Linked DNA regions of Bombyx mori. The protein of the gene in region 1 purifies or fractionates together with the protein of each later gene. This does not show direct contact. Links are inferred from orthologs where the notes say so. Each region holds a gene or a part of one and is shown on either strand. Other genes may lie near its edges. The genes, in order: ubiquitin thioesterase trabid and sarcolemmal membrane-associated protein.

Evidence for each region.
Region 2: the proteins of ubiquitin thioesterase trabid (region 1) and sarcolemmal membrane-associated protein purify together in Homo sapiens (affinity purification with mass spectrometry; 3 studies listed by BioGRID and IntAct, with this or other methods). This does not show direct contact. The link is inferred for Bombyx mori from reciprocal best matches to the Homo sapiens genes ZRANB1 and SLMAP.

What each region holds. Positions count from the first base shown.
Region 1 is NC_085132.1:7,267,083-7,271,685, forward strand, and holds the start of ubiquitin thioesterase trabid, read right to left. Parts: upstream 3,042-4,603; 5' UTR 2,779-3,041; intron 2,770-2,778; exon of another isoform or gene 2,686-2,769; 5' UTR 2,630-2,685; intron 2,550-2,629; 5' UTR 2,432-2,549; coding exon 2,300-2,431; intron 1-2,299. UniProt on the Homo sapiens protein: Ubiquitin thioesterase, which specifically hydrolyzes 'Lys-29'-linked and 'Lys-33'-linked diubiquitin. Also cleaves 'Lys-63'-linked chains, but with 40-fold less efficiency compared to 'Lys-29'-linked ones.
Region 2 is NC_085114.1:11,199,080-11,202,910, forward strand, and holds part of sarcolemmal membrane-associated protein, read right to left. Parts: intron 3,070-3,831; coding exon 2,976-3,069; intron 2,476-2,975; coding exon 2,365-2,475; intron 689-2,364; coding exon 585-688; intron 1-584. UniProt on the Homo sapiens protein: Associates with the striatin-interacting phosphatase and kinase (STRIPAK) core complex, forming the extended (SIKE1:SLMAP)STRIPAK complex.

The DNA.
Region 1 (4,603 bases):
ACAAATTGAACAATTGTCCCCACCTACTATATGTTGTATCAGCTGTTCTCAACTACCAAAATTTACAAATATAATATGTTTATCACAAGTGAGTCTGGGAAAACGGTAGAATTGCATCTCGGAGGGTTCAAAATGGGTAAATATTTATAGATTTATAGTACACATGTATTACATATTTTAATTGTACAGCTACATTTTTAATAAATATATCTTAAAAAAATCTCCTATACTTACTTTCACTTCGTATTAAAATTTTCAGTTCAAGTAAGGGTGTTGCAAATTTGTAAAGCGTATGTTAATTTAAGTAAGAAAGGTTGAGAACAGCTCATCTAAGGAGGATGCAGGGCAAAGAGTTCCCAATATTTGGTTTTTTCCAATAGTTTGATTAATTGGTTTTCACCATTCATAAGTTTTCAAAATACTTCACACTGATTACATTTACAATCTGTATGTGAGCAAATAGCCAAGAATAAGTAACTACTTTAGTGAATGTCTCAAACTGTAAAGAATTTTAAGTGTGAATATCAATGGAAAATTGTATTTTGGCTGTTTGTTGCCTTTATGCAAAAAATATTATAATACTAGTGAGCCTCCATATGATAACAACATTATGTAATAGTAAATACTGTCATATACTATTTTTTGTTTGGTACTGGCTCTGGAGCTCAGAGACATCAGCGCCAATGCTAAATGTAATCAGACCTATTCTATTTGGAACAACTGTTCAACGATTTCAAACTACAATGCATTACTGTTTAGAAAAAAAAAACTTGTTCAAAGGAATCCATCTCCCGCTTTACTAACTAGTGATGTTTTTACATATTTATTCCAGGTGACTTATTAATACTAGAAACCAATGATAAAATGTATGAAATTATTTCATGGCTCTAAATAATTCTAATTCATTTTTGTCATTAAGAATTAGAAATCAAAACTTTTATTTATTCTATATTAGATGTTACCCATGACTTCGGTCGTGTGATCAATTAAAGCATGAATTAATTTTTAGAAAGCATCAGGTAATTTTGCAAAAGATAAGAATATAGTTTCCCATCAAGATGATATTTTTTCAGTACAAAATGCAAAGTATAAAAGTAGAGTAAGTTGGCCTATGTCCTGACCTAAAACTTTAAGAAACATCTTGTCAATCTGTTGCTTCGTTTTGACATGAAAGATGGAAAAAATCATTTAACCGACTGCGCAAAAAGGAGGAGGTTCTCAATTCCACTGTATGATTTTTTTTGTTTGTAAGCTCATAACTTTTTACTGGGTGAATCGATTTTGATGATTCTTTTTAATTACAAAGCTGATGCTTCCCATGTGGTCCCATTTTAATTTAGTCTAGTGATAGTGGTATCCATGAGAAAACCATATAAATCTTAATTTTGCATTAGGTATGTGCGCGACAAATAGATGAATAACTCAATATCACACCAACTGATTTCCATGATTATTGTTTTTAGCGTATATGAATTTGTTTTGAAATATCTTTTTTTATTTGAAGTCAGTTTTGTTAAAGCATTTCTAATTACAATTATCACATTAAAATATTAGTATGGAAGTACAGATTCTGTGACCGTTATTGTATTGATGAATTTTACATTGCTACAACAGAAATTTCAATAATTAGCAAAAAGTATTTTATGTTTTAATTTTTAAGTTTAAGACCTATTTATTATTGCTGATAATCTGTAAATTTATGTTTAATTCCAATTGTAAAACTAAACTGAAATTGTTGTGGCCTAAAGGATATAAATACACAGTGTACTCATTTCAAGCAATACAACTTAGCCAGAATTCAAATGCCTCCAGGATCTAGTGGTTTAGTGTAATACTCACATAGCACTTCTTTAAATAACATAAATGAGTCGACTATTATCGAAGCCGGCAATGTGACTTTTGGACAATTATTGGTAAATCAGAAAAACGAATTATTGACTTTGTATTCCATTGGCAGTCACAAAGCTCTTCTGAATGACATCTTAGATAAATAGCAGGTTAAGTATTAACCTTTATTTAATGCAGGTTTTGAACCGTATTCTTTGAAGGAGACGATTATATTCAAATCAATCTGTATTGACATATCAATAACATTTTTTTGTCCAAATGCACAGATTGCCACCTTTGATAATAGACAACTGAAATAAACAAATGGCATCGCTCACACATTTGCTGCAATTCGACTACTTTGCACTACCACATTAAATTCTTTCCATTTTCTAATTATGATTATAATGTATTTGATTTTAGTGGAATTAAGCTTAAATAAACTAATCAAAAAATTGGATAATTTTCTTACCTGTCCAATTTGGGAAATGGTAGTGGCGGCATCCTGTGTGATCGCCTCAGCCCCTGGGCCTGAAGCACAATCAATCCCCACAGACTGTGATGCACTCTTTCTTGACGCATCATTCTTCGCCTCTTCACTCATTGTACACCAATTAGAACATTTAGAGCAAGAGTCGTTCCTACATGGACTATAAAGCTTTCATCATATAAAATACTTCAATATTTGAACAGGTGCTCTTTGCTGCGTCGCCTTGTGTGACCTGAAACAGGCGAAACGTCTTCACTGTGAGAAAATTTCACCTTAGGAATTCAATCAGTTGACAAATAGGGATGCCCATACATCTAACGTTTCTGTTTTATATAGTGCGCAAGGTTGAAGATAGGACTCTTGGCAAGCTGCAATGCAAGATTTTGGCGTCGTTACACAACACAAAACATCGTGAGAGATGCCATAAGGTCAAGTCTATCCAAGCATATCAACGCACTCACGGTAAGAAACGATCAGATCGATCGGACTACTCCACAGTTTGTTTAGTTAACTTGGGACGAAACAAATACGGGGAAGACAGGAAAAACAAATTTGTTAATGGAATTACAGTCAAGTTGCACGGTATTTTGACAAATTTTGGTCATGTCAAATGTTGTCATTCGATAATTGTCAAAAAAATGTTCTGTGCCACTAAAATGTTATCATTTAATTGGCGAAATATTTATCAAAAGATGCCGATTATAATGTGCCAATAGTAAAATAGTATAAAGGTATAGTTTTATTTTGACCAATAACATGGCATCCTAAATGTTTTGTTGAAATGGTTAAGCCAATGAAAAAACGAGACCACCAATTTAATGTCACAGATTCCATAATGTCACAGACTTCATAATGTTCGGAGCTACCGTTCCCTGCACTATGGAGGATGGAATAGAAAAAGTTTCACTATAAATTCAGAGTGTAATGCCGGCCACTGACATGCGCGCAAATATTCGTACATTGTACGAATGTTTGTGCGCATGTGAAGGGCCGTCAAACATTCATTCGCAAATCTAGCGGCTTTGCAAATGGGTTCGCATACTCAATTTGCGAACCCGTTTGCGCTTCCTCCTACACTTGTTTACGAATGTCTCACGAATTTCTCCTCCTTTTTAATTCGTCAATAGAACATTGAAGAGGAAAAGAGTTTTTAATTCTTTCCCAGACATCATTAACAGCCATGCTGTTTTTATGGGATTTCTTTTGATGAAGATACGCTACACAGTAGACGTCACGAACTATGAAAATGGCGTATAGTATACGTCCGTTACCTTCGCAATCGTCGGCGCAACTGGGCAAGCGAATGTGTGGGAGACTACGCGAAGGTTCGAGGTTCGCGCGCTTTGATGTCTGTTAAAAAACCGACACAGCTTGGAAAACCACGAATGCAGCGAAAACTTTGCATAATCATTCGCAAATGTCGTCCTACACTTGTGGGTTTGCGTATTCGTGCGCATGTGAGTGACCGGTGTTAGAATAATCGAGGAATGATAAGATGGTGCAAATGGTAAAAAAATATGTTAGAAAGATATTTTCTATAAATGCTTGTTAATATCATTAAAAATAACTGAATTTATTAAAACCGCGCTAATCGTACTTTAAAGATTAATTGGCCGTCTTCTCTGACTTTTTTTGTTCAAGTATTGTCGAGGTTTGCTGAAGTTTTCAATATTTTTTTGATCTACCTAAGAAATAATTAGACAGTATAAACGCACTTGTTAACAAAACGCTACTAAATTGATCAAAATTAATTAATCTGAGCGATAAAAATAAAAATATCTAGTAAGAGGGGCAACTTAAGGGTGATCATTTGTTTAATTAATTATAAATAAATAAAAGAAGAACAAACAATTTTTACATTCGAACATTAACGAGCAAACGACGAACAAATAATTAAAAAAAAATGCGAAAATAAAAAAAAGAGGGCCAAATTCAGTAAGCCAGGTAGCACCACCCTGCCTATTTCTGCCGTGAAACAGTAATGCGTTTCGGTTTGAAGGGCGAGCTGCCGTTGTAACTATATTGAGACCTTAGAACTGATATCTCAAGGTGGGTGGCGCATTTACGTCGTAGATGTCTATGGGCTCCAGTAACCACTTAACACCAGGTGGGTTGTGAGCTCGTCCACCCATCTAAGCAATAAAAAAAAATGTAGCGTGCTCAAGATCACAGATTAGTATATTAGTTAGCTTAAGATCAAGGTCTAAACAAGCGCAAGAAATGTGCAATTGTCTATAGGACTTTACTTTTGCAATGAGCTTTATTTATGGAGGATAGAGGTAAGGA
Region 2 (3,831 bases), on another chromosome or scaffold:
ATCGCATCTGCGAAAATGTATGCTTTATCTATATATAGCATTATAAAGGTGATATTACTGATAACATATCCAGCAGCTGACGGGCGGGGTCAATAATCTTGGGTGACGTCACCTAGCCACTTCGCTTTACAATGCGGGTCATTAAATACGAACTTTTAAAACGGTAGGTGTTTTGCTCAGCTTTTCAAATAAACATTGCATTTTTTACGTAATGTATGTTTTATGTAGCGTCAGCTATAATAAATCCTAAAAATTACTGAATCGCGCTAACGAAATTTTCACTATAACCTTGCATGCATATAAAAGTATCATTGGAAAAATGTACGATTTTTGGTTACCCTGTATTGTAGTAATGTAATTTTTTTTTCATAACTTTTTCACAACCAATTTTAATCTACCAAAAAAAGCTATAATTATCAAACTAAAGAATATTTTGTTATTAATTGGATTAAAAAATATTATTACTTGGAGAAGCATTGCTGACGTCCGTAGGCGACGGTAACCACGCACCATTGGGTGAGTGCTCATCTGCCTACAAGGGCAATTTAAAAAATTTTTAGCAAATATTCAATAAAGTTACTCACGGGCGAATCCTCTCGGTTACTAGTTTCAGTGTATGTGGAATTAGCGTTGTTGTCTGGGCACAGCTCACCATCCAGCGGACTAGACCTCTCCTCGTGTCCGGGTTCTGAAAGAAAAAAAAACTACATTTATAACTATATACATATACATGTCTATATCAAGCGATGGACAACTGTGGGCTATTGAAAACAACGTTAGCTCATAAAAAAGAAAGGATTACTAATAAATTTAAAACAAATCTCTGCTGCCAGGAAACAATTGGGAATTTTAGTGAGTAATATTATGATATACATGACAATACAACTTGTGTAGATTTGGTTTTATATTCGCTGAGTGTTTATATGAACTATATTGAAAAATAATAAAAATAATGTATACATAAGGATGTTTTGTTTTTAATTTTTACTAAAGATCGTTAGGTACTCAACCAGAAACAATTGAATGTTGATAAAGGTACTTATGTATTCATAATTAGTGTTTATGATTATTTTAATTTGTTTACATGTTTAAGAGTCAAACAGCTGACGGGTCACCCGGTGGTAAACGGATCCCAGAGGCCATGGACATCAGTGAATGTCATTTCGAAGCCCGTGCGAGTTTACAGCACATCCTATCAGTGAATGTCGGTCGGCGATCACTTTAGTTAGTATATACTAAGGGAACGCTGCTATCCATTCTCCCGGAAATAGCTTTAATCGCCTTTACTGAGACCCCGAGAAAAGATGAGATGATGCTATGATAGGCGACCGCACAGCCAATTTAAACATATAACTAGTGGTCCCCCAGTAGTCGAAATTCGACTATATTTAATTGTAATTATAAGTTTCAACATTATTATGGAATTAAAGACTATTATCTTACTTTCTATAATCACAAATTTCGCCATGACTACATTATAGACAGATAATATTAAAGATAAACACTATTAATCTATGGTCAATTTGACCACAGACTAAACAGTAACAAAAGATTGACAATAAACGAAGAGTATATGTTTCGTGTGTTTGTGTGTGTTAAATATATGGTACTATAGTTGTGTGTGTTAAATATATGGTACTATAGTTGTGTGTCATGTTTCTTTTATTGAATTAATGTCTTTTTTAGGCATAACTAGTTGACCCGGCAGACTTCGTGACAGTGCCCCAATCGATAAATAAAAGACCTAAGCTTTAGTATAAAATAAACTTCAACATAAGGAATCCGTCCGACGGGGGACATCAAAAGGAAAACAAAACTGTTAATTTTATTTAATTCCGAGCATTTTCATATTTATTTACCTTTTAAACCTTCTCTAGACTTCCACAAATATTGCAAGACCAAAATTAGCCAAATCGGTCTAGCCGTTCTTGAGTTTTAGCGAGACTAACGAACAGCAATTCATTTCTATATTATATAGATAGAATAAAAAATAATTAACATGAAGCAGTAATGCGTTTTGGTTTGAAGGGTAGGACAGCCGTTGTAACTATACTGAGACCTTAGAACTTATATCTCAAGGTGGGTGGCGCATTTACTTTGTAGATGTCTATGGGCTCCAGTAACCACTTATCACCAGGTGGGCTGTGAGCTCGTCCACTCTGAAGACCACCACGTCTAAGAAAAAAAAAAAAAAATCTGTACTCCCTCTCTGCATAATCTATAAGTGTGGAAAATTTCATACTCCTCTATCAAATACAAATCATACAAAGTTTTTGCTTCACGTATTATTAAATAGATAAACGGAAATAACTGAATTAGTTTTTTTTCTCAAACATTTGAATTTAGAATTGAAGCAAATCTCACCGTGATTCAATCGGGATTGTTTCTCGTCGTCAGTACAGGAGTCAGGCTCGTTGGATTTCTCTTCGCAGCTACCACCGACGCCGTCCTCTTCGGCTTCTAGTTTTTCTGTATCTACAAACATGCTTATTTGATTTGTAAATCCCAGAGTCGAGCGATTTTATATAATCATTAGTTTTATTATTACACGTATCGTCTTTTCGCATTAAAAGTTAATTCGCATTAATTGAGTTAATATGCGGAATCATTTGGTATCACCAGTATTTTTCTCATAAATAATGTCAAAAGAGCGTAGTTTAGTTTTAGTTTTTTTTTTTTAGTTTTCCTATATTTTGACTACTATTAACAAAATTAATTCATAATTTATCTTACTTTAAAAGACAAATAATGTATCTGGTAAAAAATAAAAAATAAATGTTGCAAAGATGATTAGTATTAAAAATATCACATGTTACACCTTCAAAACACTCTCCTGTAAAATTAGTAAGTTATGAGATTATACAGTTTTAATGCGAGAAGACGATATAGCATATACAATTCTCTCGTGACTCAAAATGATGACAGAACACAATAAATCAAATATTTTTTAATATAAATTACAGTGATCTGCTTACCTTTATTTTCAGAGTTATAGGCATTGTTCTTCTTGAGTATCAATTCGAATTCTTTAGCGGACTTGCCGTCGGCCGAGACTATTTTTATACCGACCTGTAATCACAGAGGTTTTTATTATTTTTATTGCTTAGATGTGTGGATGAGCGTACGGCCCACCTGGAGTTAAGTGGTTACCGGAGCCAGTAGACATCTACAACGTAAATGCCGCCACCCACCTTGAAATATAAGTTCTAAGGTCTCAGTATAATTACAACGGCTGCAACACCCTTCTAACCGAAACGCATTACTGCTTCACGGCAGAAATAGGCGGGGTGATGGTACCTACCCGTGCGGACTCACAAGAGGTCCTACCACCAGTAAGAAGTTTGTTGAGTTGTTAGATTTTATTTGTTGAACTGAAAACATTTGTCATCAAAGTTTTGTAACTCATTAAAGATATTAAAAAGTGAATTACCTAAAGTTAAGTACCTACCTAACAACTAAATAGTGCCAGCCCTATCGCAAAACTCTATTGTCTCCATACGTAACCTGATGCACCCCAAAGCCAAGGTAAATCGGGTCAAGCTAATTTTTTCAGTTTTTGTGTATATTTTGTAATGAACTCCGGTCACCGCCCTCGTCGAACCCGTCGCTGACGGTAAAGGCCTCGACGAGCGAATTAACCCATACACACAGCCCACTAAGCTTCTCGCCGGATCTTCTCAGTGGATCGCGTTTCCGATCCGGTAGTAGATTCTGCGAAGCACTGTTCTTGCTAGGGCCAGTGTTAGTCAAACCGGGCCACTCCCGGTTTGAGCCCCGTGAGCTCACCTACACGTTAGGGCGAAGCTGAAATAGCCTCTCAAGGCTATCAGC